4 linked regions of the Rhinolophus ferrumequinum genome follow. The protein of the gene in region 4 interacts with the protein of the main gene of each other region in a pairwise test. Links are inferred from orthologs where the notes say so. Each region holds a gene or a part of one and is shown on either strand. Other genes may lie near its edges.

The links.
Region 1: the proteins of TRIM39 (region 4) and PSMD9 interact in binary tests that used the Homo sapiens proteins (3 or more experiments, as listed by UniProt). The two-hybrid records come from large-scale screens. The link is inferred for Rhinolophus ferrumequinum from reciprocal best matches to the Homo sapiens genes TRIM39 and PSMD9.
Region 2: the proteins of TRIM39 (region 4) and UBTD1 interact in binary tests that used the Homo sapiens proteins (3 or more experiments, as listed by UniProt). The two-hybrid records come from large-scale screens. The link is inferred for Rhinolophus ferrumequinum from reciprocal best matches to the Homo sapiens genes TRIM39 and UBTD1.
Region 3: the proteins of TRIM39 (region 4) and UBXN6 interact in binary tests that used the Homo sapiens proteins (3 or more experiments, as listed by UniProt). The link is inferred for Rhinolophus ferrumequinum from reciprocal best matches to the Homo sapiens genes TRIM39 and UBXN6.

Annotation. Positions count from the first base shown.
Region 1 is NC_046308.1:5,407,195-5,415,178, reverse strand, and holds the start of PSMD9 (26S proteasome non-ATPase regulatory subunit 9), read left to right. Parts: upstream 1-4,967; 5' UTR 4,968-5,090; coding exon 5,091-5,228; intron 5,229-7,984. UniProt on the Homo sapiens protein: Acts as a chaperone during the assembly of the 26S proteasome, specifically of the base subcomplex of the PA700/19S regulatory complex (RC).
Region 2 is NC_046299.1:26,307,686-26,315,029, forward strand, and holds the start of UBTD1 (ubiquitin domain-containing protein 1), read right to left. Parts: upstream 3,015-7,344; 5' UTR 2,672-3,014; coding exon 2,602-2,671; intron 1-2,601. UniProt on the Homo sapiens protein: May be involved in the regulation of cellular senescence through a positive feedback loop with TP53. Is a TP53 downstream target gene that increases the stability of TP53 protein by promoting the ubiquitination and degradation of MDM2.
Region 3 is NC_046301.1:59,267,316-59,274,918, reverse strand, and holds the start of UBXN6 (UBX domain-containing protein 6), read right to left. Parts: upstream 3,017-7,603; 5' UTR 2,878-3,016; coding exon 2,795-2,877; intron 463-2,794; exon of another isoform or gene 329-462; intron 1-328. UniProt on the Homo sapiens protein: May negatively regulate the ATPase activity of VCP, an ATP-driven segregase that associates with different cofactors to control a wide variety of cellular processes.
Region 4 is NC_046286.1:1,119,094-1,126,973, reverse strand, and holds the start of TRIM39 (E3 ubiquitin-protein ligase TRIM39), read right to left. Parts: upstream 3,004-7,880; 5' UTR 2,284-3,003; exon of another isoform or gene 2,180-2,283; 5' UTR 2,098-2,179; exon of another isoform or gene 1,990-2,097; intron 1-1,989. Other genes in the region: developmental pluripotency-associated protein 2-like, read right to left, coding at 5,827-6,696.

The sequences.
Region 1 (7,984 bases), on a different chromosome or scaffold from region 4:
TTAAAAATTATATTGTTTTCTTCTCCATTTAGATGAAATATCCAGGATAGGTAAATCCATAGAAACAGAACGCAGGCTGGTGGGGGCCAGGAGCTGGGGGGGAGGGAGGATGGGGAGTGACTGCCAATGGGCACAGGGTTTCCTTCTGGGGTGACGAGAATGTTCTGGAACTAGATAGAAGTTATGGTTGCACAACATTGTGAATGTACTAAATGCCACTGAACTGTGTACTTAAAAAATGATTATGTTGATGTTGCATGGATCTCATCTCAATTAAAAAAGTTGTATTGGTTTTAAAATTTTTTTATGATTTTGTACATTTTTTAATATTGGGAAATAGTGTTTTTACTGAAGATTAATATACATGGAAAAGTGCAAAAATCATACAGCGCTCTGAAATTTCACAAACTCAACACACCTGTTTAACCAGCTCATCTAGGTGTTTTATTCTTTTTTTCTTTTTAGGTGTTTCGTTCTTTATAATAGAATTAATACAAGTTAGTTTAGGGAAAAAAAGAGAAAATACACATAGTTTTTAAAAAAGGAGGAAAAAGAAAATGCAGAAAGTAAACACATCCATAATCTTTCATCTGTAGGCAATCACCATGGACAATTTGGGCATATCCACCCAGACTACCTTCTAAAAATGTACAGGTATGATACTGTTCTGTAACATAATTTTTTTACCTATGCTTTGTAAATACTTTTCATGGTAATAAATACCTATGTTTATCGTGTGTGTGTGTGTGTGTCCTTGAAAAACCATTGTAATTACTATAACCAACCCTTACAACCAAAGAATTAGAAACAGCATCTGCAATGATCTATCTCACTTGAAATGACAGTTTCATGCTCTTTGATAATGATTTTCTTTGTTAAATTACTCTGACTTCATATTAATGTCCTATTTTTTTCAATTGCTTTCTCCCTTGCCCTGCGCTCTGCCCAGGCACTAAATATTGACAGTCTCACGTGGACAACCCCCACCTTCTTCGTCCTCTCGCAGTCATATAGAAGCATATATAGACACATATATGGGGGAGCTGATTTTGTTGTATAAAAATAGGATCATACGCCATGTGGGTCTCTGCATCTTAATTTCCACAGTGTCTAAATATTGGCGACTGTGCTGGATGGTCTATTTGCCCTTCCAATTCTCTTCCTCCCTGTCTCCCTCTATGCCCCAAGCTCCTTTGCCCTCAGCCAGCCAGAGGCTGGGGCAGGAGGTGAGAGGAGGGAGAGGACAGCTATTTCCTGCCATGCTCCCCCTCTGCCAGATGTTTGGGCAGCAGCTGTGTTTCTCTGCTGAAGATCACACTCCTGCTGGGTGGCCACACCTTCTCTAGGTTCCAAAGCTACTCCCTTCCTTTGACCTTGTAAGTCTGGGGGTGGGATCTGACCCTCAAGGTGGCCGTCCCAGGCGGTTTTATCATCCCTTTAAATGCTTCCTTAACTTTGCCCTGACTCTGTAAATAGCCTTTTCATTAAATGCCCCTTAAATGTTCTGAGTGTGCCAGCTGTTTTGTGATGAGGCCCTGAACCGATTCAGCAACTAATTTAAAATTCTTAAAAATTCTTAGCCAACTCACACAATCCTGCCACCAATTTGGACGTTGGTTTATAGATGCAGGAATGGAGGGTAATTGACTTGGCAGTCTGCCTGACTCCTAGGCCAGGGTGGAGGGGAAATACGGAAAATTTGCTGAGTCCTGAAGGCAGGCAATATGAATTCTGACCGACCAGGTCTTCCTAGGGTACCTCTAGTTTCCTGGCTCTATTTCCCAATTCTGTATCTCTTGGTTCTGAAATGGAAATGAGCACAAGATGGGCGTTTGGAAGAGGCAAACAATTTAAGTTCTCTGAAACCTTAAACAAAGACTTTCTAAAACAAAGGCTTTGCTGGCTATCTGCGCAGGTAAGATGAACCAGGACAACTGGAATGGGGAAATAGCCTGTTCCCTTAGACTCCTCTGGTAAACATTCACTCAGTCAAACATTTGAAGGTAAACAAGCCTCAACCAACATCCTTTGTCCTCAGTGCTTAGACACAGATAAACATACATGGATAATAACAGGTGGAAAGTGCTGTAAACAGCCTAGCTTTGGGGCGGGTTGGAGACTGATTCCCCAGGGGAGGTAATATGTGAGGTGGCTCTTGAAGGAGGAGCTGAAATCACTCTGGCCTGGGTCTGCCTGATGGCCCAGTTGGTTAGAGCCCGAGCTCTGGACAACAAGGTTGTGGGTTCTATTCCCTAATGGGATGACGGGCTGTGCCCCCAACAGCTTAAAGGTTGAAGACAGCTGCTGGACTTGGAACTGAGCTGCGCCCTCCACAACTAGATTGAAGGACAATTACTTGGAGCTGATGGGCCCTGGAGAAACACACTGTCCCCCAATATTACCCAAAAAAATTTAAAGGAAGAAAAAAGATATCACCCTGGCTTGACCTGACCTGAGATGGTGCCCTAGAGAAGGGATAAGCAGGTGCCAGACCCTGTGCCAAGAGAGACGGAGAAATACATGTACCAGAAAGTGTGGGTGGAAAATAAGTTGTCTATGTGTGGTGGAGGGTGTGTGTGGGTGGGTTCAAAAGGCAAGTAGGGTTAGAAGTGTCTTGAAAGACAAGAGAAGGGTGCTGGAAAGCCACCGAAAGCTTTTAAATAGCAGAGTGACAATGTCACACCTTGGGTAGGTTATTTTGGGTGCCATATGGAGAATGGATGAAAGGGGCAACCTAGAAGCTGAGACAAGTTCATAGGCCACTGCAATCAGGAAAAATATTGGGGTGGTAGGAGAGTAGAGGTGAAGGTGATGGATGAGAGCTATGAATGCAGGAGCAGAAACAGAATGTAGGTTTATGATAATCATAACAATATTGACAATAATAACATAATACAGTGATTTAAACAATAGGTGTGGTTTCAAGACTGCATAGGTGAGAATCTTCTCCCCTCCCTTTTACTTGGAAAAATGTCAAACCTCAGAAGAATTGCAAGATTGTTTCCATGAACATCCATATACCCTTCACCTAGGTTTACCTATTGTTACATTTTGCTTCTCTCTCTCTCTCTCTCTCTCTCTCTCTCTCTCTCTCTCTCTCTCTCTCTCTCTCTTTCTCTCTCTCTCTCTCTCTCCACCCTCTCTTTCTCTCCCTCTGTATGTAGCTTTTTTTCCTGAACCACTTGCAAATTGCAGAAATTATGACACTACACCTCTAAATACTTTAGCATTCATCTCCTTTGAATAAGGAGAGTCTCTTATATGATCACAATACCATTTTCTTACTGAGAGAATTTAATATTGATACACTATAATATAAAGTCCATATCAAATTTCATTAATTATCCCAATAATGTCTTTTAAATTGCTGCTTTTTAATGAAAAAAAATCTAATATCTAATCAAAGATTGTGCATTGTATTTAATTATCATGTGTCTCTCTCTTTTTCCTTTTTTTGGGGGTGGGGGTCAATGTTAGAAATGTTAGTTTATTTAAAAAACATAATTGAACAAAATATAGGAAGCCTAGTGTAATTGGTTCTACTTTTTTTCTTTATAAAGATGATTTTTGTAACTTTCTATTTAGAAATTATTTCAAACTCACAGGAAAGTTGCAAAGATGGTACAAAGAATGTTCACATATTGTTCACATAGGTTTCACCTAGAGTCAGCAATTATTTTCACTCTGCCACATTTGCCTCATCATTCTTTTGTCTACAAATATAAATTCGTATTTTTTATGAACCATTTGAAAATAAGTTGACTCTCTTTCCCCTAGATACTACAGGGTCCTTTTTCTAGGGACGTTGTCTTGTATAACCACAGTGTAAGCATCAAAATTAGGAAATGTAACATTGATACTATACCAGCTAATTCAAATTTCCCCAATTGTCCCAAGAATGTCTTTTTGTAGCTTTTATTATTTTTTTTTAGGGGACCCAGGATCCAAACAAGGAGCACACATTGCATTTCCCTGCATCTCTTCAATCTTTAATTTAGGCAATCACCTACCACGTGCATGTATTTCACAACACTGACCTTTTTGAAGAGTTCAAGCCAGTTGTTTTGAAGAATGTCCCTCAAATTAGGATTTGTTTTCCATCGTTGGATTCAGGGCAAACATGGCTGAATACTACATCAGTGATGTGTCCTTTTCAGTGCAAAATGTTAGGGGCGCATATTAAGATACTAAGTTTCATCGTTGGGTTTCAAGCGGGGTTGAAATTTGGGCTGCTTATTGAGCTGGTTGGGCAAGTTGGTTAGTGAGAGAGCTTTCTCAGCTGTCAAATGAGGGTCCTAATGTTGGTTTCAAGAACAGTGTCTCGCAGATTTTAAGTATTTGGTAAATTATCAGTATTACTGTTCTCATCAATATTATTTTTAACCAAAATTTATAGAGACTTTAATTATGTGACGGGACTGAGCCCAGCATTCAATTCTGTACCCCTCTAGCACCCAGGACAATGTGAGGCACAAAGGAAGCATTCAATAAATATTTGTTGGCAAAATGTCAGCTCTACGACATTGATTGCTATTGATATGGAACCAATTTACAGATGCGAAAACGGAGGCTCAGAGAAATGTAGTAATTTACCTAAGGTCACTACATTGCAGTAAGTAGATTTGAACTCAAGCTTGTAAAACGGGGGATTCGGAATCTGAATGTGTTTTGTAAACCCTCAGGGGCTCTGTCATGTGAAGAGCTGAGCTGGAGCGCCACGCACAGTGCTCTCGGACGGACATACGAGTACAGTCGGCATTCAATACGTAAATGTTAGTTGAATGAATGAGGAAAGAAAATGAGTCAGCTAAGGAGTGATCATCCGCCCTGGTCAGGGACAGCGCTTGGAGGGTACAGACAGGGAAGCCATTCCTCTGCATCCCGTCCCAGGTGGAGTCACCCCAGGACCACGTGTTCCGGCAGGGTGTGGCTTCCGGTGACACCGCCCCACCGACGGAGCCACGCCCCTCACGCCTCCCCGCGCTCGCGGCCGGCCGAGGTGTTTTGGCCCGCGGGCGGAGCCGTAGTCAGTCTCCCCCGCGTCTGCGACCGGGAAAGCGGGTGTTCAGAATCCCCGGTGGAGGTGCACGATGTCGGAGAAGGAAGAGAAGCCGAGCGCAGGCTTTCCGCAGGCCGGCGCGGTGACTGTCAGCGACATCCAGGAGCTGATACGGCGCAAGGAGGAAATCGAAGCGCAGATCAAGGCCAATTATGACGTTCTGGAGAGCGTGAGTGTGGGCGCCGGGTCCCCGGGCGGCGTGGGGGGCACCCCAAGGGCTCCGGACTCGGCCCCCCGACCCGGAAGGACTGGGAGGCCGGGGCGGCCTCCGCTTGAGCTCTCAGCTGTGGCTCTCGCCCTCCGTGGGAGGCCCTAGGCGCCGCACCTGCGACCTCTGTCGGCTGCGGGCAGTGAGGCAAATACCGTTGAAAACTAAGAACAACATTGGTATTCAAGCGAAAGTTTATGGAGCCCTTACTATGTGCTGGGCTCTGTTTTACGTGATTTTCATTGGTGAGCTCATTTAATCGTCGCAGCAACCCTTTGAGGTGAGCTCTATTATTTCCACCATTTTAGGGATGAAGAAACAGGCGTCACTTAACTTAGACCTGCCGCGCGTCACAGAGCTAACAAGTTTGCAGAGGCTGGGTGATTGATAGTCTCCACATCATCAGTCTTTGTTGAACCTTTACCTGATGGCCTGTGTTCTACTAAACACTTTATGTCAGAGCTTCGTAAACGTTAATGTGTATGTTAAAGTTTAGATTCTGATGGGGGGCGGGGCACGCGTGAACAGATGCTGTGTTTCTGGCGATGCTGACGCTACTGGTCGAAGGACTGAGCTTTGAGTGATAGGTAAGGCTCATTCGCCTTGATATATAAGGAGGAAACTGAAGCTCAGAGTGGGGCAGACCCCTGCCTAGGGTTTTGTAGCTATGAAGTGGCAGTAGTGGGGCTAGTTTCCAGGTCCGTCTGGCTCCCAAACGGATATTTTTTTTCAAGCCACCTAGTAGTGTAAAACCACAAATCAATTTGCAGAGAAGGGGTAAATTAGTTACATCTTATGTAAGGGCGGATGGAATGCATTTTAGGTGGTGGGAGTAAGATGAAGTATCAGATGGAGGCGAGGGTACCATTTTACTGAGTGCCTGACTCTGTGACTGAAGGGTGCTGGTTAATGAAGGGGAAGTCACTTGCTCAAAGTCACAAAGTGGGATATAGATCTCAGGCCTGCTGAATCCAGAACCGGTGCTTTCAAACATGCCAGCAGTTTTTTTTTAAAGTTTTATTGGGGAATATTGGGGAACAGTGTGTTTTTCCAGGACCCATCAGCTCCAAGTCAAGTCTTAGTTTTTTTTCAGTCTAGTTGTAGAGGGTGCAGCTCACTGGCCCATGTGGGAATCGAACCGGCAACCTTGCTGTTAGAAGCACTTCGTTCTAACCCACTGGGCCAATGGGCCGCCTCCCAGCAATTTCTTAAACTTCAGTTACTCTCTACCGTAAACAGGACGTTGTATCCATATACTTCCTGTACTGTTATTCCCTTTATGTTTTTCTTTAAATTCACTCACTTTTTTACTTAAATTTATTTGAAAAAGAAATTTTATAATTCTACAGCATGTGAAAAAATGAGACTCTTTTTCCTTTAAATGTAAGGTATAAAAATGCATAACAAAGTGATCCATCCAAATGTCCATCAACTGATGAATAGATAAATAAAATGTGGTCTGTCCATACAGTGGGATATTATTCAATAAAAAGGAATGAAGTGCTGACACGCTACAACATACATGAGCCTTGAAAACATGGTGCTATAGAGTTCATTACAAAAGACCACGTATTTTATGATTCCATTTATACGACATATTCAGAATATAGGCAAATCTGTAGGCAGAAAGTAGCGTAGTGGTTGCTGGGGCTGAGGGGAGCGGGGGAATCAGTGATTGCTAATGGATCCGGAGTTTCTTTTTGGACAGTGATGAAAATGGTCTAAAATAGATTGTGGTGATAGTTACGTAACTCTGTGAATATTCTAAAAGCTGTTGAATTATACACCTTAAATAGGTGGGTTGTATGGCATGTGAATTGTAACTCCATAAAGCTGTGAAAAACACAATGGAGAGGCCCAGAGATAGCAGTGATCTGTAGGTGATAGAAAGAACAGCACCAAATGGAGATTTTCTCCTTAATTATTGAAGGATTGAAGATAGTTGGTAAGGGAATAAATATTTTAGATTCAGGGTTATTTAATGCGCTGTGTGTGGGTCCCAACTTTTGAAAGTAGTGCCTTATGTGGTACTGATTCAGGAAGGCCAGTCAACTCTTAGTCATTGTGGGAAAGCAGGAGGCAGACACAGTTATGTAGCCCGTGACACCTTTGTGCGGTATCTGTAGAGTCCTGTGGTAAGGGAGTATATGGGACCCTCTCCCCTCCACCCCCCGCAGGCTTCTAGAGACAAAGGGAGATAAATGGAATCTCTCCGTCTAGTAACTGTGTACATTGGGCACTGTCTCTCTGTTGGCTAATAATTACAGCCATCATTTATTACTTTCTACGTATGTTCATTTCCTAGGGCCGCCATAACACATGGCCACAAGCTGTGGGGCTTAAAACAAGAGAAGTTTATTTTCTCATACTTCTGGAGGCGAAGTCGGAAATCAAGATGAAGGCAGGGTTGGTTCCTTCTGGAGGCTCTGACGGAGAATCCATTCCATGCCTCTCTCCTAGTTTCTGGTGGCTGCCGGCCATCCTTGGCTTGTAGCTGTATCACTCCAGTGTCTGCCTCATAGGGTCTTCCCGCTGTGTCTCTGTGTCCCAAATGCCCCTTTCCTTTTTCTCATAAGGACATCTGGCAATGGATTGAGGGCCCACCCTAAATCTAGGATGATCTTACCTTGAGGTCCTTAATTCCATCTGCAAAGACCTTATTTCCAAATAAGGTCACATTCACAGGTTCTGGGGGTTAGGACTCTGACTTATCTTTT
Region 2 (7,344 bases), on a different chromosome or scaffold from region 4:
GTACAAGTCATTGTGCTAAATGCTGTGTGTGTGTGTGTGTGTGTGTGCACGCGTGCAAGTGTGCATGTGCATGGTTATATAAGTGAAAAAGAGAGACAGGCGTGCATGCGTGCGCACGCACGCGCGCGCGCACACACACACAAGGAAGGATAAGACAGAAGCCAGGTCTTCAAGGCTTGCAATGTAGTTGCTGATGTAAGACTATAAACATCAAAGAAATGACTAATAATATGGAGTAGATAATTGTTAAGTGGCATAACGTGTCTGCAGGAGTTCTCAGAAGAAGCAATCAGATCTACAGGGGAGGGGGTGGCACTGTCAGGCAAGGTGCTTCTAGAAAGATATGAGATTTGAGATGGACCTTGAAGGCTAGAAAGGGTCTTGATAAACGGGGAAATGGCACGAGCAAACACTGGCGGCCTTTATTGTCAGGTAAGAGAAAGAAATCATGCCTTAAAAATAAGGACTGGACCAGATTTGAACGACCTTGAAAGTTAAAGTTTTTGTATAAGTGAGGAGGTACAAAATTTTTTTCTGAACATAGAACGATAGGGCTTGAAGCAGGTTAATTTAACAAACAAAACGTCTTCTGGGGGGACCATGGTGTGCAGGCACTGGATGAATGACTGAAGATGATTTTGCCTTTGATGGGGAACTAACTTCAACCTGGGAGATGAGTTGGACTTGAGGTGACAAGCGTGTGAAGTAGAATGTGAAGGGGCAGGTTTGTACCACCTGCTGAAGGAAACACCAGCAGGTCCCAATGACTAACCGGCTGGGAGGCAGAGCACAGGAGGCAGAGAAAGTCAGCAGAGAGAGGTCTTCAAAGTCCAAAGTTAGGCAGCTGCAAGGATGGAAGAGCATAGGGAAGCTGCCTGAGGGGGGAGAGATGCAGAGCTTGGTTTTTAGAAGTGCTGAATCTGAGGATAACTATATCGCAATGTCCAGTGTGCATTCAACGACACGAGTCTGGAGTCTGAGAAGGAATAGTTGAAGATACAGCTTAAGTGTCTCCCCAATGGACAAAGAGTTGTGGGACTGATTAAAATTTCTCTGGAAGGAAGTGTAATGAGAGAAAAAAAAGGAATGTCAAATTGAACCACTGGTGTGCTCACACCTAGGAGGTGATGGCGGATAGGAGTGAGCTGAGAAAAAAAACCAAGATAGTCTAATAAACACCACGAAGGGAAGGGGGTAGAGTTTCAAGGAGGAGAGGGCTGACAGTGAAAAATGCGACAAAATCAATCATGTGGACTGAGCACATAAATAATAAATATTTGTTGAATAAATGAATGAAATAAGGAAGAAAGGCTTTGGGTTTGAGAATCAACTTTCCTCAGTCAGAATGGCCAGGGTTGCCAAGAGGATTTCAATGTTAAATTTTACCCTGTTCTACAAAAACACATATCTTCTTCCACAAGTCATCCTGTCCACAACACAGACATCCTTCCCTGCTTCACCCATGTTTCCCCTCATCCTCTTTCCCAGTTTCCGCAAATCAACCAACACACCTTCGGTGTCCAAGGAGACAGGAAACTCCAACTAGAGTTTCCACTTCATTAACAACTCTGCCTGTGGCTCCTCTTACATAAAGGGATATGTGGCAATTGAGTGGAAGAGGAGACTATGTTCTAGCCCCAACTGTACTACTAACTAGCTGTAAGAGTTTGGGCAAGTTGCTCAACCTCTCTGGATGTGGGCATTTTCACAGATAGGAGGAGGTAGGTCTATTTGGACTCCAGACAAGTTTAGAAGGTGCCTTTCAACTCTAAAGATCACGATTTTAAAAATTCTCAGAAGGTCCCTGCAACAACCTCAGAGAAGGAAGTGAGCACAAGACCCAGGGAACCGACCGTCAGACCTCTTCCCGGGGCGAAGAGCCAGGATAGGAGTGTACCAAGAAAGTGAGAAGGCGCTGCCTGGCCCTCGCGGATGACCAGTTGAAATCCCATTCCCGTGGCTGGAAAGGACCCCAAGGATCCCAACAAACCCGAGGGCTATTCCCACCCCGCACCCCACCTTGTCTAGACTCCCAGACGGACGCGAGGCTCTAAAAAGCCCTGCGGGAAAAATAAAGATTTCTTTCCCAGAGTCCTGCGGTGCTTTTGCAAGTCGGATTCCGGCAGACACGATCTGCAGCCCGATAATGACACAGACAGTCTTGGGAAAGAGCGACTGTTCTCGCCTCGCTCGCTCCGAGTTCTGGGGACGCCTGGCCGCCAGAGCCATGCCCCGACGGGCCGGCGTCGGACCCCGGCCCGGTTGCCCGGCCAGTGGGGCCCCTGGCCCGGGCCCTCCTTCCCTCCGCCGGCCCCGCTGCGGTTTGCAAACATTTCCTGCCCCCGCCCCCACCCCCACCCCCACCCGGAGCTTCCCAGTTGGAGAGAGTTGGGCTCAAAGCCGGGTCAGCGCTCGCTGTTGCCCCAACTAGACTCCCCTGGCGACAGGGCTGGGGAAGGGGACCCCAGTCTGGCTCGGGGGAAGCCATCGGGGAAACCCGGCGCCAGGAGCCATGGGAAGTCGCCTGGGAAGCCCAAGGCTCGGGCAAGGAGGGGACAACTGGCGGGGCGCCCGTGGCCCTGTACCCTTCCCCGTCGTTACCTGCTCGCTTGCGGGGGTGTCCTGGGGCGGCCGGCCTCTCCCGGCGCTGTCTCCCCACGCAGTTGCCCATGCTGGCTCCTCAGCCGGGCCCCATGCACCGGAGGCGGCGGGCTGGTCCGCTGCTCAGCGCTCCGGCCCCGGACGGCGGCGTCCCTGGTCAACGGCTCTTGCCGCCAGCCATCGGGCGCTGCTGGATCTGCCCCCGGGGGCGCGCTGTGCCCCAAAGCCGGCTTCGCCACAAACTTTGCGGCGAGGGGAGAGAGGGAGGTGGCCGACTCCCTAGTACAGTCCCAGGTGGCCGGGCCAGGGGGGCCCGCGACGGTGCCCGGCCCAAGACCAGCTCCGCTGGAGGGGCGGAGAGAGGGGGCGGTCACCGCCGCGGCTACACCCGGCTAGCTCGCGGCTCCGGGCTGGGGCCGGCCCCCCGGAGTCTGTCACTCACCTGCCTAACCCCGCCCCAGCCCGGCCCAGCTCCTTGCCGTGGGCTCGCAGTGCCCCAGCCGCCGCCGCCGCCGCCACCGCCCGCCCCAGGTGCGCATGTGACCGACGGCACCGCCCCCTCGGGCCGGGTCTGATTTTCTCATTGGCTTCCCCCAGGGTGCGTACCGCCCCTCGACCCCACCCAACTAGGGGCCCGCCCCGCCGCCCGTCTCCCGGGTAGCAGGGCCGGGAATTATTCTCCTTCAATGGCCCCCGGCTGCGTGCCCAGCAGCCACCTCCCCTCCCCGCGCCGCCATGGCCACTCCAGGCCCCGCCCCTTGGGGGAGGACCCATCCCACTTCTCCCTAGAACCGCCTGCCTTGGAGCCGGCAGGCACGTGATCCAGGGAGCGCCCCGCCTTCTGCTTCCGCCAGGCGATTGGCTCAGGAGGCGCATGCGCTGAGAGTTCCGTCCCGTACCACCGCCCACTTCCCCTCCCACGGTCTCTAGTTCGCGTCATGGCCGCCGCCGCCACTCTGGAGGCGGTGGCTCCCACAGGCGCCCTGCGGGGCCTCGTGCACGACTTCGTCATGGGTCAGCAGGAGGGCCCCGCTGACCGAGTGGCTGCAGGTACGGCAGACGGCGCTGCGGGGCTTCCGCATGGGGGCCAACGGGAGGGAGCGGCCTCAGAATAGACGTGGGGCGGGAAGGGAGTGAGGGACAGCGGTGACTTGAGAGATTGGTCTCGGGCAGATTGTGAGTACCGCGTGCATAAGAGGCGTAACAGTTACTTGCATCTTCTTTAATACGCCTTTACGCCCCTCGTCTTGGTTTATAGCCACCCTGTGCGCCGGCACGGGTTAGGAGAGTGATTACCATTTCACAGGTGGGAATCCGGCCTAGCGAGGGCAAGAGGCTCGCAGATCAGGCAGGTGGGGGAGCTGGGACGCGGCCCCAGGTCCTCCAGTTCAGAATCTGGTGATCACGTCGCGAAAGCACTTGATCCTGGGAGGTCAACGGGACAAGAAGCATCTTCAGAGGCATCGGCTCCAGTCGCGTGGCATGTTGGGAGGGGCAGGGCGGCCTGATCTTTGACGGGCTGTAATTGGAGAGAGGAGAGAGGCCAGCCTGAGGGGAGTTTGAGATGTTCTACGTATCCTTAAGACTTTCCCTCCGTTTCTTAATAGTAAAGTTCTTGATTAATTTGCTTCATGACTTATGTGGTGTTTGTTTTTATATTTTCCCCAGATCTCCAGTTTCCTGCATTTGACAGGTTCAGGGATCTCTTAGTTCTGACAGCTTATATAAGATTTGAATGAAACAAATTCCAGGTTTCATTGGAATTCTCTTTTAGAAAAAAAATTAGAAGTTATTGAATAATTAGGAGGCCTTCAGACCTCGTGTTACGTAAGAGAATACAAAATCTCATGAATACAGAAGAGTTTTGCCTATTTTTGAAAATTTTGCGGTCTTGAGAAAAAGTAAAGGACGCATTTCTCTTGAAAATTTAACATATTAATTTTTATTTAGAATATGTGAAATGAATAAAGTAAATCTGCAGGAAGTACAATACTTTGCTCCTTAGCAATTACACTTTTATCCAATTATTTATTCAATAATTCCACCATTATTGAATATATATTATTCTTTAAACAGATGCAAAGCAATAGGAACATAAATACAAATTAGACTAGATATGTATCTGCCACTGTAGTGGGGTGGGAGAGAAAACCATGCAAACAGATAGTACACTACACCATGAATAGGGCTATAAAAGGTATGTGCAAGGTGGCATGAAGCATCAAGGAGCAAATGCCTGATGCTGCCATTCCACTAAGTTTAACTGCTTACAGCTTTATGAAGCTTAGTGTGTTATTAGTGCTTACAATTATAATGAACAAGTACAGTGTGTTTTCAATGGCATTTTTCCTGGTGTTTTATATGAACATTTTAAAACACAGCAAAGTCTAAAGAATTTCATAAGAAACATACATACGAGTACTCCACCACCTAGATTTTGCCATTAACAATTTAATGTAACTTGCTTTATCACATATCTATCCATACGTTTAATTTGCAGATGTCAGTACACTTCCCCCTAAATACTTTGGTAGGTATATTTGTTTACAATTTAGTTTGGTGTAAAATTCATATCCAATGAATTGTACAAATCCTGTGTATAGTCACTGATTTTGAAAAATGTATACACCTACCTCCTACCAAGATAAAGAACATGGCTATATCAGTGTTATTAGTAACTATTCTTTCACATTTATATATCATGAACACAATAATTGCATTTGAAAAATGCAGAACACACTTAAGAAGACGACGTGAATAAGGATGGCCAAGTTCTTATAAATGTCCTTGTAAAATTTGTTTTTATACCTGAAAAAAATGGCCTAAACTGTTGTCTAATTTAAATTTAACTCAGCTAAGACTGTAACACCAGCCCTGTTGTAATTTAACCCTTCAGACTAAGAAAGGAGGTTGGTAGTAACAGATAAGTAACAGGGGTAGCAACATAAGGTTGAAAAGGTTTGGGGGGGGGGTTGCATTATGCATAGCCGTGGATTCCAGGCAAAGGCACTTGAATGATCTATTATAGTTAATAGGAGTCATTGTAGATCCTTGAGCAAAGGAGTCGCATAATGAAAGCAAATTTGAGAAGAATTAAATTGGTATTCCCAATCTTAGATTACAGCCCTAGTTAGGGTTGTTGAAGGCTGACCAGGTTTTGAAGCATTCCTAGAATAAGATGGGATCCTCCATCCTAAGTCAAGCTTTGTTAGTGCTGAAAGGACCACTGTCTATTAAGCCACTACAGTGGTAGCCTCTCCTACAAATTGTAAATGCAGAAGGAACACCCTGTTATCACAGAGGCAGCTACCACCAACTTTGTTTTGTACCTGGGTTCCTGATGAAAGTATCAGATATAAAGGTTCAAATGATGGAAGAGAAATGACCTGGCAGTCAAAAGCTGCCACTACCTAGCTCCAGCCTTTACTCTCATTATTCCCCTCCTGGACCTTTAGTTCCAGGCAGCCACCTTGATTTGCTATTCCCCGAATGGTTTCCTTCCCTAGCTCTGTCTAATCAAAGGTAGATGTAGGATTCAAGACCCAGTTTGAGGGCTCGCTGCCTGCCCTCCAAGTGTTTTTTGATTACTTCAATCAGACATCATCTCACACTTCAGAATCTGTGTGGTATTTATTTCTCAACCACTCATAAACTTATTAGCAGACTTGTTTAGTAGCTATTTCTGTACGTATCTCCACATCCTACTCTGCTATTCCTACCAACAGAGTCTCCTAGAGACTAGCATAAGTAGATGTGCAGTAAAAAACTGAATAAGTGAATGGAAATGAGAAAAGGAAGAATCTGGAATTTGAGGCTTAACTAGTTATAGGGCTTGAAGGAAAGGGAGAACTCTAGGATGACTCCAAGTTTTTGAGCCTGATGGTAAGCAAAAGAGAAGTACTTTGTCCAAAAATGGAGGTTGGGAAAGGAACTAATTTTGAAGTGATTTTTGGACATGTTGAAATTACAGGTGATGGATATAAATTTTCATCTTCTTAGTTATTTGTATTTTCTTTTTTTCAGCCTTTATTATATTGTCCCACATTTGTGATTCCCTGAGGAGACCACTGTTCCTGAATCCAAAAGATTGCTAAAGGACAGTAAAATATAGTTCTGAGAAATGTGTGTAGCACCCTCAGCAGAAAGGACATTTGGAGAGCTTAATTGGAACTGAGTCCTGATTGGGATTTTTCTTCTTCCTGCATCCTCATATCCTCCCCCTTCCCCTTTTGGCTGCTGCTCCAGATTCTCAAGAGGCTGCAACTCCATCAGACAGAGGTCTGATTGTACATTCTATGTCAGGCTCATGTAAATACATCTTTGATGACTCCTCAGTGCCCCACACGAACTGGTGCCCTGCTGTGGAAGTTGTGTGTAGTTAGGAGGTGCTAGTAGGTCCATTTTTAGAGAGCAAATCTTGGACAGCTTGCAAAAGCTTAGGCCTACCTATATAATGAAAGGAACTTTCGTTTATTTTTTCCTTCATGCCAGTGATACTCCCCTTAGGAAAATTAAGTTTTTATTAGCTCTTTCATCCCAGGAGTCCAAGTACGCAATTAACAGTACCTCCAGATATTCAGGTATTTTTCATTTGGGAGTATTTATAGTATTAAGAGAATGACGCACTTAAAGTTGGTGAGAGATGGTCCATAAACCCAGGAATTTTACTCCTTTCTTATGTTAACCCAGTCTGTTTATATCACTATGGTAACACTGAACTTCTTACACTGATTGTGTTAGATG
Region 3 (7,603 bases), on a different chromosome or scaffold from region 4:
GCCCTGTCCCACTTCTATTCCCTTCAGGGTTAAATGGGGGTAACAGCACCCCCGCACACATGCTGATATCTTCAGGTACTGATGAGACTCAGAGGTATCATTCCTCTTCTCACTCCCTCCCCAGTAAGAGTCTTAACCCTTATTGTCTACAACAGCGACCGTTGCCTTTGAGCACATACTGTGTGCCAGGCAGCGCCCAATTCCTCATGGCAACACCCCCTGTGAGGGAGGTCTTAAGATCCCCTTTCCCACGTCCTAGAGGATCACCGAAGCTCAGAAAGCGGCAGGCCCTGGGTAAACGTGTTATAAAGATCCGGTTTAATCTCACCTCCACCCTGGGAAATAAGCACTGTGATGACCCTAGGGGACGATGGCTTCTGCATCTGCTTAGCAGGGAATGAGCGGGCTTTGAATGTCCCAGCAGAGAAGTCCTTCCTCCTGCCCTGGTCTGCCTCACCGGCCTCGCCGCCTTCTTCCCTCAGGACCCTCTCCTGGCCCCAGCAGTTGGGGGCCTGTGCTAAGCCGTAAAGCCTTCTCCGGAGCCAAGGCTCTCAGTCCATGGCCTCACCCCTCCCGCCCCGCTCAGACACGCACGCAGCCTCTCTCCTTACTCCAAGTCCTCCGGGGCCTGCCTCCTGCCCATTCCGACCCCTCTCGCCAGCCCTCCCCAACGCGGAGAACCTCGTGGCGAAGACAAAAGGAGTCACGTAGACTTGCCCTAGCCCCATGTGACACTGACATTTGGAATATGCCTCTCTCCAAGACACCTCAACCAGCCCCTTCCTGGCTCCACTGGGCAGCCACAGGGATCCCTGTAAAACCTGAGCCAGCACTTATCACAACTCTGTACCAAGTCTTCCCACTGGCATAACAGAATCCTAAAGCCACCCGTGGCCCTGGGCCCGGCGCAACCTGCCCGTCTCCCCGGTTCACTCCTCTGTCTACATTGCTCTCCCAGCTGTTGCTCACACAGGCTCAGCTGGGTCCTGCCACGGGGCCTTTGCACTTCTGGTGCCTTCTGCCCCAACGTTCTGCCTGGGAATGGGGTGAGGAAAGGGAGGAAGGCAGGTCTGGGAGGGGGTAAAACTGCTTCCTGCCAGCACACGTGAGGGAGGAAGAGGGAGAGAAAGAGAGTGGGAGCGGGAAAGGGGTTGTTTTCCACATGGCTGAGTCTCACCTCCTCCAGCTCTTAGCTCAAATGTCGCCTTCTCCAGGAGGCATTCCTGGACCATCTATGGGTCCCCTCATCACTCACTATCCCATGCCTTTTTTTTTTTATGGCCCCAGGCACCACGTGATCTTTCATCACATGTGTATTGATTTATTTGTCCATCTTCCCCCACTAGAAGACCAGCCCTGAGAGAAAGGGGATTTTATCTCACTCATGCTGAAGTGGTGCTTGACACACACCCTCCTGCCCACCTTGAGTCTCCCATCTTGCTCCTGACGTGTCACAGAAGCCTGGGTCTCCACCCTACTGCCTTGCCCTCTCCTCCCAGGCCTCCACTATGGCACAACCATCACCCCCACCTCCTTTTTGTCACACAGTGCCAGCTGCCCCAGCCCCCACCTCCACCCACCACTTATGGAACAAATGAATGGACCCCCTTGTCTGATCCATCGCTCCCCCTGGACCCCTCTTAAGCTGCCCTCCTCTCCCTCCTCAGGCTCCCAGGACACGGTTTTCTCCACTCTGCTTCCCTCCCTTACAAACAGGGGTGGTCCTCACAGGCCTCCTTCGTCCCGCTCAGCACTCCCCTCCCAAGAACCCCCAATCCTCGTGACAGAGGCCCTGAGGTCCTTGCCCTGCACCCACTCGCCCTCACCCACCACCCCTTCCTGCCTCTCCTCCTACCCTCTCCCTCCCAGCCCCTACCTCTTCACAATTCCTTCCATTGTTCCTCACAGGCCCCTGCCCAGGCTGCCATCTTTCCGCAGCCTCTCCTCTTCCTAGGACCACTTCCTCAGTCCCCACAGCCCCCTCTGCAGCCCCTTTGCTCGTCCCACCACCCAGCGGAGCTTTCTTCCCAGCCCACCAGCCCTGACGTTTGGCATCCTCCCTGCTCCCGGTCTTCACTGCCCCCCTGCAGCTCTGGCCCTCCACACACCTCTCTCCACTACATTTCCAGTCTTGCCCCCGGGCCTTTCCTTCTCCAAGTCCTCCCCAGACAACCCACGGAGGCCCAAGGGCACCCTCTTCCTACTCTCCCTTTCACTCAACCACACCCACAAGGCCCCCACCACAGCCCCTGCTCCTCGCCCCACCCCCCGCCTCCATTCTCCTCCCAGACCTTCCTCAGCCCCTCGCAGCACCACCACCCCATTCACCCAGACCTCCCAAATCCCTGCTGACCCTTCCCAACAATGCCTCAGGCTCCCTGGCCTTCCAGACTCTTCATCTATTCCTCCCGCACTCTCCAGAACCAGGGCCCAGACCCCGATCACCACGGACGCTCAGCCTCTCGCCTCTTTGCTTCTCCGGGCTCAGCCCCCAATTCCCATCACTTTGAGTCTCCCAAATCTATAAGCCTCTCCGGGGCATCTCCTTCGCCCCCGAGCCTCTCCCTTGACCCCGCGGTTCCGCTGCCCCTGCCCCGCCCCCTCGGGCCTCACCGTCCCGCCCCGAACCCGGAGGCTTCCCCTCCCTTCTTACTCCCACCGCTGCCCCCACGCCCCGCCCCCCGAGGTCTCTCCCCACCCCCCGAACCTCGGCCTCCCCGGCCCGCCCCTCGCCTTCTCAGGCATCCCTTGTCCATCCCCGCCCCCGGCCTCATGCCCAGCGCCCGTCACGCACCCCACCGACTCCGTGAGCTTCTGTCCAGGCCCCGCGCCCTTAAACTTGATGTCAGCTTTGATTTCCTCAAAGAATTTCTTCATGGTGGCGGCGGGCCCGGCGGCAGGGGGCCGCGGGGGGCGAGGGGCTGAGGGCCCAAGGGCCCAGTCAGGGAGGGGTCGGCAGGAGCCAACAACCGGAAAAAAAATACGGCGCCACCAGAAGTCCCGCCTTCGCACGTCCGCCCACGTGACAATCGGCCCGGCGCGCCTTTCTAGCTCTCTGCGCCTCGCTGGCCCTCGGCGACCGCTCTGTACTCTCGGGCCGCGTCTCGGTGGTTCTTCCGGACTCCGTTGCCAGGGGCGACGTGCGCGCTTCTAACTGGTGGTTGAGCTTGGACGCCTTCCACCGCTTTCCGTGAGGGGTGACAAGAGAGGGAGGGCTAGGCCATCTGACCTCACGGGGAGAGCTCTGGCCCTGCTCGCAAACCATCCCTGGCTCCCCAGCCCTTACGTGATAAAGTGCCAATTAAATTGTGGGCGTTCAAGGCCCCCACAACCCAGCCCCGTGGTCAGCCCCAGTTTCCCGCCACCCCCCCAACCTTTCTGAGCTTCAGTTTCCTATCTGTGAAGTGGGGATAAGAATAGCACCCGCTCCCTAGGAGGATTGTGAGCACGATGAAACCATCGGAAGGCTCAGTAAATGGCACACGTTATAATATGTTACTCCTTTTAATATTTCTTGAGAGTCGGATCTGTACCAGCAGTGAGGAAATCAAGACAACAATTCCCTGCCCTCGTAGAGCTCATGAGTTTTTTGATGAGGTTGGGGAGGGACAGACTATGAGAAATAAAATCTGGTAGGGTAGATGGTGTTAGGCTCTATGAGGAAAATAAAGTGGAAAACAAGAATAGGGGAGGGCAGAGTGTGGGCAGTTTGCATCATCAAATAAGAGGATCAGGCACAGAAAAAGGACATTTTTTAGACCAGCAGGGACATTTGAATGTGTCTAGGCATTAAATGATATAGAAGAGCTATTGTTAATTTTGTTAAGGGTGATAATGGCATGGTAGTTAAGTTTAAATAGGTTAAGTTAGGTCTTTTTTCGGAGATGCATTCTGAGGTATTTATGGGTGAAATTACATCTGAGATGTGCTTTAAAATACTCCAGCAAAAGAAAAAAATTATACACACGTACACACACACACACACACACACACACACACACACTTTAGGAAGAATTCTCCTGGTTGTGTTTCCTCCATGCAGTAGAGTGTGAGAGCAGTCATTCCCCAATCATTTACTGAGCATCTACTATGTGTCAGGTCAGTGGAGTCATAGCAGGGAACAAGACAGGCAGGCTTCTGCTTCTGAGGGGCTCACAGTGATACAGCTATTAAACAAGGAAATCGTGCCAGGTCGTCGTGATCACTTCTATGAAGAAAAATACAGTAGGAGAAAGGAATCGAGTGATGCGCGTTCTTTTAGATAGGCTAGTAAGGTCTGACATTTTAATAGAGACTTCTCAAGGAGACAAGGGACCAAACCACGGGGATAGCTGGGAGAAGAGTGTTCCAGGCAGAGGAAATAGCAAAGGGAAGGATCCTGAAGTGTTTGCTTATTCACCAAACATGGTGCCAGGAGCAGGGTGAGGGAAGAGAGAAGATTCTCAGCTAAGAGCAAGTAATGTGTGGTCTGATCATCCCCTGTATGGAATATTCTATAACCATCAGGAAGTGTGATCATGAGAATTAAAAAGTAGCAAGGGAAAAATCCTTGAGAAGATGTGTTAGTAATTAATTACTATATAACATATTATCCCCAAATTTAGCAGCTTACAATAACAAACATCTCATAATTTCTGTGCATCAGGACTCAGGAGTGGCTTAGCTGAGTGATTCTGGCTCAAGGCTCACTGGGGTCCACCGTGGAGGCTGTCTACCACACGACAGCATTGAGCAAAAATGCAATAGATGACATTGTCTGCCCACCCTGTTTACAGGATGGAAACATACTGCTTGTTCTTGTTCATGTTCTTGCACTGAAGCTGTTGGCTGGGGCTAAGGACTCACCTGAAGTCTTGACAAGGAGGGTCTACGTCAAAGCTCGCTCAAATGGTTGTTGGCAGGCTCCAGTTCCTTACTGACTCTTGTCTAGAGTCCTGAGGTACTTTCTATATGAACCTTTCTACAGACTGCTTGAGTGTCCTACTACATGGCAGCTGGATTCCACCAGAGAGAGAGAGGGAGAGAGAGAGAGAGAAGTGCCCAAGAAGGAAGTTGCAGTCTTTTTTTTTATGACCTAATATTAAACTTGCTATACCATCACGTCTGCCATTTTTATTAGTAACACAGACCATCCGTGGTACAATGTGGGAGCTGACTTCACAGTCATGTGAATACCGGGAGGCTGAGCTCACTGGGGTCCACCGTGGAGGCTGTCTACCACACGACAGCATTGAGCAAAAATGCAATAGATGACATTGTCTGCCCACCCTGTTTACAGGATAGAAACATACCAGTACGGAAAAACATGGCAAAGAAGGGAAAAAGTCTAACATTGGTTATTTGGATTGGGGAGATCATAAGGGATTTTTCTTCCTTTTTTCTTAGTTTCCAAATTTTATGTAATGGAGCATTATGACTTTTACAATAGAAAATAATACTTAAAAATACAGGGTGATTGAATTAAACCTCTAGGCCTAACTTACAGGAACAAGGGGTAGAGAAACAAATGGAACAAACCATCATGTAACACATTCTTTAAGCCAACTGGCCTGGTCGCTCCAAAAAGTCAATGATGTGGGGTGGCCAGATGGCTCAGTTAGAGTGTGAGCTCTGACCAACGGGGATGCCAGTTCGATTCCCACATGGGCCAGTGAGCTGTGCCCTCAACAACTAGATTGAAGACAATGAACTGCCACTGAGCTGCCACTGAGCTGCTGGAGGGGTGGCCGAATGGTTCACCTGGTGAGAGCGTGAGCTCTTAACAACAAGGTTGCCGGTTCAATTCCCGCATGGGATGGTGGTCTGCGTCCCCTGCAAGTAAGATTGAAAACGGCAGCTGGACTTGGAGCTGAGCTGCACCCTCCACAACTAGACTGAAGGACAAGTTGGAGCTGATGGGCCCTGGAGAAACACACTGTTCCCCAATAAAAAAGTTTTAAAAGGCAGGAAAAGGGGGCCATTAAAGGTATTACAATATTAAGCTTTAAAAAAAAAAAGTCAATGCTGTGAAAAATAAAAGATTCTAAATAAAAAGGAATAAAGAAACATAATCTTTAATGCAGGGCATGAATCTTGATGTGGTCCTGGTTAAAAAAAAAAAGCTGAAAAAACTTCTTAGAATAATGAAGACAATTGAAAATGAATTGGATATTAAACAGTATCGTGGAATAAATATGCATTTTCTTTGGTGCCATAAAAGTATCTTGCTTATTTAATGAAAGGTCCTTATTCTTAGGAAATGCTGAAGTATTTAGGGGTGAAGTGTCATGATGTATGAAACTTTCAAATGTTTAAAAACAGATATATATACAGTTGACCCTTGAACAAAATGGGTCTGAACTGTATAGGTCCACTTTTAAAAAAATAAATACTGTAAATGTCTGAACTGTATAGGTCCACATTTTAAAAAAATAAATACTGTAAATGTATTTTCTCTTCCTTGTGGTTTTCTTAATAACCTTTTCTTTTCTCTAGCTCACTTTATTGTAAGAATACAGTCTATAATACACATAACAAACAAAATATGTGTTCATCGACTCTTTATGGCTTCCAGTCAACAGGAGAGTATTAGTAGTTAAGTTTTGGGGGGAGTCAAAATTATACACAGATTTTCAACCTTGTGCAGAAGGTTGGTGCCCCAAGCCCCCCCCATTGTTCAAGGGTCAATTGTACATATATTTACATACACATTATGTTATGAATTATGAATATTATATATATTCAAATATATATATGTTATATTTGAATATATATATTCACATACACACACATATGAAACATAGATGGAAAAATGTTAACAATCATTGAACATAGGTGTATGGTTGTAGTGGTTTTAAAATATGTCTATAAATTCTTTGACACTCCTCCTTTCAAAGGTGAAATCTAATTCCCCTCCCCTTGAGTGTGGGCTGGACTTAGTGACTTGCTTTTAACAAATGGAAAAGGACGGAAATAATAGTCTATAGCTTTGAGACTACTGGTAGATATGAAAGGCACAGCGGCTCTTCCTGAGTTTCTCTTTGTGGCTCTTCCTGGGGTCACTCACTGTGGGGAAGCCAGCCACCATGTTGTGAAGATGCTCAAGCAGCACTGTAGAGAGGTCCGCGTGGTGAGGAGCTGAGGCCTCCTGCCAACAGCCATGTGAGGGAACCACCTTGGAAGGGGCTCTTTCAGCCCCACTTGAGCTCTCATGATGAGGCAGCCCTGGCTGGTATCTTGATTACAGTCTCATGAGAGACCCTGAGCTGGAACTCCCTAGATTCCTGACCCTCAGAATTTGCATGAGATAATAAATGTTTGTTATTTCAGTGATTAAGTTCTGGGGTAATTTGTTATACAACAATAGCTAACTCACAGAAGGACACACCATGTTCATTGTGTTACTGTGTTCATCTTTTTTTCTTTCTTTTTATATTTTTTTTAAGGAGGGCACAGCTCACAGTGGCCCATGTGGGGATCGAACCAGCAACCTTGGTGTTATTAGCATCACACTCTAACTAACTGAACTAACTGGCCACCCCTGTGTTCATCTTTTTTAAATGTTTGACATACTGAAAATTACAATTTAGCACTGTGAAATAAAGGATCATATGCCTTATAATCT
Region 4 (7,880 bases):
AAAATCCTAACTCCACATTTAGCCCCATTTTGGTATTTCACATCTTCTCTTGCACCAGATTCAACCTCTCTTTTGTTTCTCCATTTTCAAAACTTTTGACTCCCAGCTATCGATCTAATTTTTTTTCATCTTCAGCAAACTGACACACAACTGCCAATCTCTTCTGTTTTTCACCTCTGCTTTCTCTTGTTAGAAATGGAGGCTTCTTTCAACTCTAGCTCAGTATACTTCTCCTGATCCAGGCTCATACCACTTCTATCTTAAAACCAATAATGCCAGACCAATTTATCCCTAGTGTGACATATTTTTCTAATAGATGAGAAAGGAGTTTGCGAAAGTGCAAAATGCCATTAAAGTCAAAGTATTAAGATCTCTTAAATTAGGTATATTTTAAAGTTTAATGTTACAGAAGAGTTTTATTACAATAGTCCATTGGAGCCCAAGCTTGATTCTCTGCCACTATTCTCTCTCTCTTTCAAACAGTAATAAATGGAATTAGTTAGGCAAGGCTAACAACCTTCTTTTCAGGAAAGATTGAAATTCTTCTTCCTTTTATCAGACTAGTGTAGAGGAAGTGTGCCCTCCTCTTGGAATGAAATGATTCACACAACATCCTATTCTATTTGTGTGCAATTGTACATTTGGAACTTCCGAAAAGTGATAAACTCATGGCAACTATACTAAAGAGTGTGTTACTGAGTCCAGGCTGAGAACTTCTTGAAAAGAGGGATGAAAAAATCTATTTTAAATATCCTGCAGGGACTGGAGTCTTATGAAATAGCTATCGATAACTAATTCCTTGGACATACTGTGCCTCCAACTATAGGTTTTGGAGTGGTTGGGAATGAAAAGTAAAGAAGGCAATCAAAATCTCCAAGTGAAGCCTCAAAAGAGTTGGAAATGCATAAAGCATTTATAAAAGCAGAAGACTGGTCCCCTACTCCATCCTTAAAATGTCACCATTTTAATCTATGAAATGGTTGGTTTCTCTATCCCTATCACCCCACCTTCCACCCTCCCTCCCCTCCAAGGGTCCCAACAGAAGGAAAGAAATTTAGTATGTCTATGTGCTGAGAGAGGGTCTATGTGCCCCTATAATGAGTTGGGTTAACAATGATTATTCCTGTATATATTGATGGCACACGTGAAATGTGTTAACTTGGAGTAGTAACTAATTTGGACCTCAATTTCTTTCCTGAACCAGGAGACCATTCAGTTAGATGATTTTTCTCCACCTATGGAACTCCAACTGTGAGTAGTGATCCTGCCCTTACCCCAATATTCTAGGAATTAGGTGTCCTCCTCACCTGGGGTGAGTTGAATTGTACGCAGTTAGGGACCAGGAGGGATCTGACTGGCAAAGAAGTGGTGTGAAAGAAATGGGGAAAAGGTCAGGAGAGTATGGAGAGGGCTTGGAGCTACAGCCATAGTGAGGCCTCGGGCGCCTCTGGATTGGTCATTTCTTTCCCTCTGTTCCTCGTGTCTCTGTAGAAGGGCAAACTTCAGGGACGTCCTCATTTTGTTTCTACCACTGTCCGGGGTCCCACCTTGCGACCCTCTCCTGAGCGTGGTCCACAACTCGGTCCCACCCCCGGCTCCTTCTCCCGTCAGATCTGGCGCAGGGGTACTGGAGAGGAGGGAGAGGTTGGCAGGGAAGGAGGGATGAGTGTCCAGGTCGGGAGGAGTGTGACGTGAAGGTGGGATGCCCGCTGCTATGACGCAGCCGAGACCCGCGGCGACCGCGTCAGAGTTTCACCGGGGGAGGCGAGCGGCAGCGGGACGGGGAAACGGCGGGGTAGCCAAGCAACGCCGGACGCGCTGACGTCGCCGGGGCGGCAAAACGTCCGCCCGGGCCCGAGGCGGGAGGAGGCAGCGGTGGTTACGTGCGGGGGGCTGGTGACGCAGTCGCGGGGCGCTGGGACGCGGCGTGCGGAACCGGCCGGCGGGGCAGGCCCCGGGGCCCGGGCGCGGCGGCGGGACAGCACCTACCTTCCCGGCTTCGGGTCCGGTAGTGCGGGGCGCGGAGCCGCCGGAGCACTGCCTCCCTCTTTCCTCCTCCCCCCGCCCCCGCCCCGCAGCGCGACACACAATACTCGCCGGAAGCGGAAACGGCGCCGAGAGGCTCGTGTCAGTGGAAGCCGTGGTATCGGCGGGTGGCCGCGGGAGGGCCTGGCGGTGCCTGCGGAAGAAGGCGGGAGGCCGGTGGTGAGAATCTGCAGGAGGAGTCAAGGGCGAGAAGGGACCTGGAGGGGCAGGTGGCTGAAACGTTGTCGTCCAGGTGACCTGAGGAATCCGCTGGAGAGAGGGCCGCGCATGCGCGTGGCTGAGCTCTGAAGCCCATTGCCCGCAGGGCGCCGACGGGCGCGGGCAGGCGAGGCTCTCCGGGCCCGGCAGCGGCTCGGACTCTGGCTGGGCTCGGCTGACCCCGGGTGGCGCCGGGAGCCGACGGGGGCGGGGCGAGGGCGGGCGGCGGACTTTCAGTTACACTTATCCTCTGCAGGCCATTCCGGGGAGAAGGTGGCTAGGTGAGGCGCGGCCAGTTACGTGGTGGACCTGCGGGTCTCAGCAGGCACGTCACTTCCGACTAGTTTAGAGTTAGCCCTTTACGGTTCAGGGATTAAGTACATTCTCCCAGCCGTGGGCTTTAAGTGCTCCTCGCCCTACCTCTACTATGCGAGCTTTAAAGAAATGATCACCTCCCCCGCTGGACTGGGAGTCCCGATTGAGCTGGTACCGCGACTCTACTGCTCACCTTTGTATACTCAGCTCCTTGCTTGGGCCCGGCCGCGAGCGCGCCCGAAACGCCCGTTAACTATGTGCGAGCCCAGGCGCGCTCTTTCCTCTTTGGGGCTGTGACTTGAGTTTCTTCGCGAGAGCAGATGGTGCTTGTATGGAGACTACAGATTTTTGCAATATAGTCCCCTGTTTTCCTCTCCTGATGTTGGAAGCTTCGCAGCAGGTGGTTTTGCAGCGATGAAGCAGAGGAAGCCTCTGCTGAAAGAGGTGTGATGAGACTGGGGAGGAGCTAGCGATGAGTAGAGGGGTGATGGGGCAGGGGAAAAGTTGGGGCTGGGCAGGAGTAGGTGCTGGGTAAAGGTGTAAAGGGGGCGGGGAGGAGTTAGTCCAAGGTGGGTAGAGTAGGCAGCTTGCCCCGCCGGCTCTCCCCCGACGTTTGGCATGCAGAATGCTTACTGAAAGAGAGGAAGGAGCAAGTTTTGGTGTACCCCGCCGAGGGAAATGGCCAGTGACCCAACTTGTTCCTGTGTAAATTGTGATGTTATTTACACTGTGCAGCATTTAACCTCATCCTAGGAGCCAGAAACTATTTACTTGCAGAAAATATTAAAAAGTGCGCGTTATAAAGATTTTGATCACACATGTTAAGTACAATTAGTTTACTTTTTCTTTACTGGTTTCCTTTTTGTTCACTTTTCTTTTTAAGGTTGCCAATGATTGAAGAGGATTAAACTTGAGAAAATCACATTTATTAACTTTTCCCTCATTGCTATTTGGCCATTAGGGATTTTAGCAACAGTACTTGTTCTAGTTCACAAAACGTCTCAATTCTAAGGTAGGGTAATTTGAAAGCCACTAACTGGATAGTCAGCCTCTTTAGCTTTGTTTTGGAGAGAGAGTCATCAGTTGTAATGTTGATTTGTACCAAGGGATTTCCAACACAGGACCATGCAAAAATGAAGTATAATAATGAGATAACATTTTTAATGAGACGAAAAGTTAGAAATACACACTTTAATGTTTTTATATCAGGAAGGGAGAACAGAAGCAACTAGCTTAAAATTACTGAGTCATGTAGAAGAAATGGGTATATTAGCAGTACAGGTAGAAAACTGGTCAAAGTCACGTATGGTGGCTTGGGGATGAAGAGGGTTCAACTATCCAGACTTCTGAGACTCTTACCCAGAAAAACGCAAGGCATCGAATTTTCCCCCACCTTTTTTTTTCCACTTTTTAATTATGAAAAATTTCAAGAATAGACAATCTTCAGTTTGCTTTTTATACTTTATACTGACTATCTTCTATCTTTTTCAGTTACATAAAACTACCTCATTCTTTTTCAAGTCTGTGTTAGTCATTGTGTAGACATATAATTTATTCAGCCATTTTATTTTGAGTACACATTTAGGTTCTTCCCAAGTCTTATTAAATAAAAGCTGTAGTGAACATCCTTGCACATATATGTTTCCCCCCAGTTTTATTGAGATATAATTGACATACAACATTGTATTACTTTAAGGTGTGCAAGGTGATTTAATATATTTGCACATGTATCTTTAGATGGTCATACCATTTATTAGTAGGACAGATTCCTAGAAGTTGGGCTGTTGGGTCAAAAGGCATAAAAATTTAAAAGTCTAATAAGGTTGTATGTCCACACCAGCATATGATGAGATAGTCTGTTTCCCTACTATGGAGCCAGTGCTTACATTTTCAGGTGTAAAAAAAATTTAGTAATATTTTTCATTTAACTTTTTTTTTTTGAAAGTAATTGCGGTTTTTGCAATTATTTTAACCCTTTACACCGCAATTACTTTTTAAAAAGATCTTATTGGGGGACAGTGTGTTTTCCCAGGGCCCATCAGCTCCAAGTGGACGTCCCTCAACCTTGCTGTGGAAGGTACAGCCCACTGGCCCACGTGGGAATCGAACCGATTGCTGTTCAGAGCCCATGTTCCAACTAACTGAGCCACCCTGCTGCTCCGTCATTTAACATTTTTAATGATTGCATAACAGGTCTTGTTCTGCAGATACCATACATTTTTTTTTTGTTTTTTTTTTTTTTTGTTTATAGCAGCTTTATTCATAATTGCCAAAACTTGGAAGCAACCGAGATGGCTTTCAATATGTGAATGGATAAACAACTTATGGTACATCCAGACAATGGAGTATTCACTGCTAAAAAAAAAGGAAAAAAAGTGGGCTAAGGGATCAAATATATGGTGACGAAAAGAGAACTGACTGACACTGGGTGAACACACAAAGTGATATATAGATTATGTATTACAGAATTGTACACCTGAAACCTATGTAACTTTACCAACAATTGTCACCCCAATAAACTTTAATTTAAAACAAAACAAAAAAAAGTGAGCTATCGAGCCATGAAAAGATATGAAGGAATCCTAAATTTACTTTGCTCTGAAAGAAGTCAATGTGAAAAGGCAACTGTATGATTCCAACTGTATGACATTCTGGAAAAGGCAAAGCTATGGATACAGAAAATGTGTCAGGGGTTAAATAGGTGGAGCACATAATTTTTAGGGCAGTGAAGCTATTTTGTATGACACTATAATGGTGGATATGTCATTATACATTTCTCAAAACCCATAGAATGTAAAACATAAAGAGTGGACCCTAATGTAAACTATGGGCTTTCGGGGATAATGAAGTGTCAATGTACGTTCAATAAATGTACCCCTCTGGTGCAGGATGTCGACAGTAGGGAAAATGGGGGAGTGCAGGGAACAGAATTTGGGAACTCTAGTTTCTGCTCAATTTTTTCTGAAAATTTAAAACTGCTTAAAAAAATCTATTAATTAAAAGAAAACCAACTTATATTCTATATGTTATAGCTAAATACCTGAAGCAGCAGGGGCAGTCACTTTTTGGCAGACCTGAAGTACAGAATCCAGACATTCACATCTGTACTCCAGGCATCAGGCAACACTGAGGATGGCCAGGACAGGGCACAGCAATCACTGGGATACAAATCAATGTATCTGTGAGCTATCTATCCACCGTTTATTCTTTATTAAGACATGGCCAATCCAAAAGGAATGATATGATTGTGTTCAAACCAGGTTGCTTCTACTTCTTCATTGTAGTTAATCTTTCCATCATCCTCTTATTCCTCTTAACACAATCGGGGCATAACATATTATCTTCTAGGTCTGGGTATGGGAAAGTGCAGGCCGGCAACAGGAAGAGAGAGATCATCTTCTTGGGAGGGTCAGGCACCCACGCCTGACCTGCATAGAACTGCAGGTGAACCCAACCCTCTCTGTCTGCCAAGAGAGGTCTGCCGTGGACCACACACCACCTGACACCAGACGTTTGCAGCAGAAAGTTCTCAGCAGAAGCAGGAATGGGACATGAATTCATAGCCTTAGGTTGAACGGCTCTTGCAGCAAGTCTTGCCCATGCTGCCAACATGGCTTCCTGAGCTGAAGTTATCACTTCAACGCTGTTGGTCATTTGCTCTCTCTCACTCATCTTACAACTTTTCTTACTCCTTGCTTTCTTGGTCACCATCTTGCATTTCTTTGAACTTGACTCCTGTAGTATTTCAGGAATGTTTTGTTTTTCTTCAGAGTATGCATGTTCCTTGAGCCTCAGATAAACGTCTATTTTCTTGCCATCAGTACTCAAATTAAATTGTTGGCACCAGTTCCGCAAAGTGTCCCAACGCACTTTATTAATTGAAGGCAAAATGGTCGGCAAGGGGAGCATTGGTTTTGGACAAGCTTTGAACTGTTCACTCGTTTGAGGAAGATAAACTTCATCATCTGTCCTAGGAATCTTCAGGTTGTCTTCTGAGATTGAAGAAATGCTTGGTTCCATTTCACGTTCTTCATTAGTTTCCTCACTAACTGGAACCAATGTGAGAATCACACTTTCTTCCTCTAATTCAACCTTAAAGTAATCCTTTTCGCTGCTATCAAAATTTGAATTTGCCATTCCCAGGAACACTCAGAGAACAGCAAAGCCAGCACAGTTAAGGATACCTGCAGTTTACTCCTTTTCACCATACATTTTTCAGCACTTTCTCAGCAGGCGGGCATTTACTTAGGTTTTTTTCCCCTTTTTTTCCCTGCTGCATAAATGGTGTTACAATAAAGATTCTCTGAACATATGCCCTTATGTGTAGTGCATTTATTATTGTGAGAAGGGTTCCTGGGTAGAAACATTGTGGAGTTATAATCTTAATGGGTATTGCCATATTGGTTTTCTTTTGTTTTTATTTAAAGTTTATTGGGGTGACAATTGTTAGTAAAGTTACATAGATTTCAGGTGTACAGTTCTGTATTACATCATCTATAAATCCCATTGTGTGTTCACCACCCAGAGTCAGTTCTCCTTCCATCACCATATATTTGATCCCTTTTACCCTCATCTACCAACCTCCCCCAGCCCCCCTTACCCTCTGGTAACCACTAAACTATTGTCTGTCTATGAGTGTTTCTCATTTGTTTGTCTTGTTCTTTTGTTCTTTTTGGTTTATATACCACATATCAGTGAAATCATATGGTTCTCTGCTTTTTCTGTCTGACTTATTTCGCTCAGCATTAAAATCTCAAGATCCATCCATGTTGTCACAAATGGTCCTATTTCATCTTTTCTAACTGTCAAATAGTATTCCATTGTGTATGTATATCACAACTTCTTTATCCATTCATCTATCGAAGGACGTTTTGGTTGGTTCCATGTCTTGTTCACCATAAATAAAGCTGCAATAAAACATTGGAGCACACGTGTCTGTCTTCATGGATAAATGTTTTTGGATTTTTTGGGTAGATACTCAGGAGAGGGATTGCTGGGTCATATGGTAATTCTATTCATAATTTTTGGAGGAACCTCTGCACTGCCCTCCATAGCGGCTGCACCAGTCTGCATTCCCACCAACAGTGTATGAGGCTTCCTTTTTCTCCACAGCCTCTCCAACACTTGTTACTATTTGTCTTTTTGATGATAGCCATTCTGACTGGGGTGCGGTGATGTCTCATTGTGGTTTTTATTTGCATTTCTCTGATGATTAGTGATGTTGAGCATTTTTTCATGTCTATTTGCCATTTGTCCTCTTTGGAGAAATGTCTCTTCGGGTTGTCTGCCCATTTTTCAATTGGGTTGTTTGTTTTTTTGTT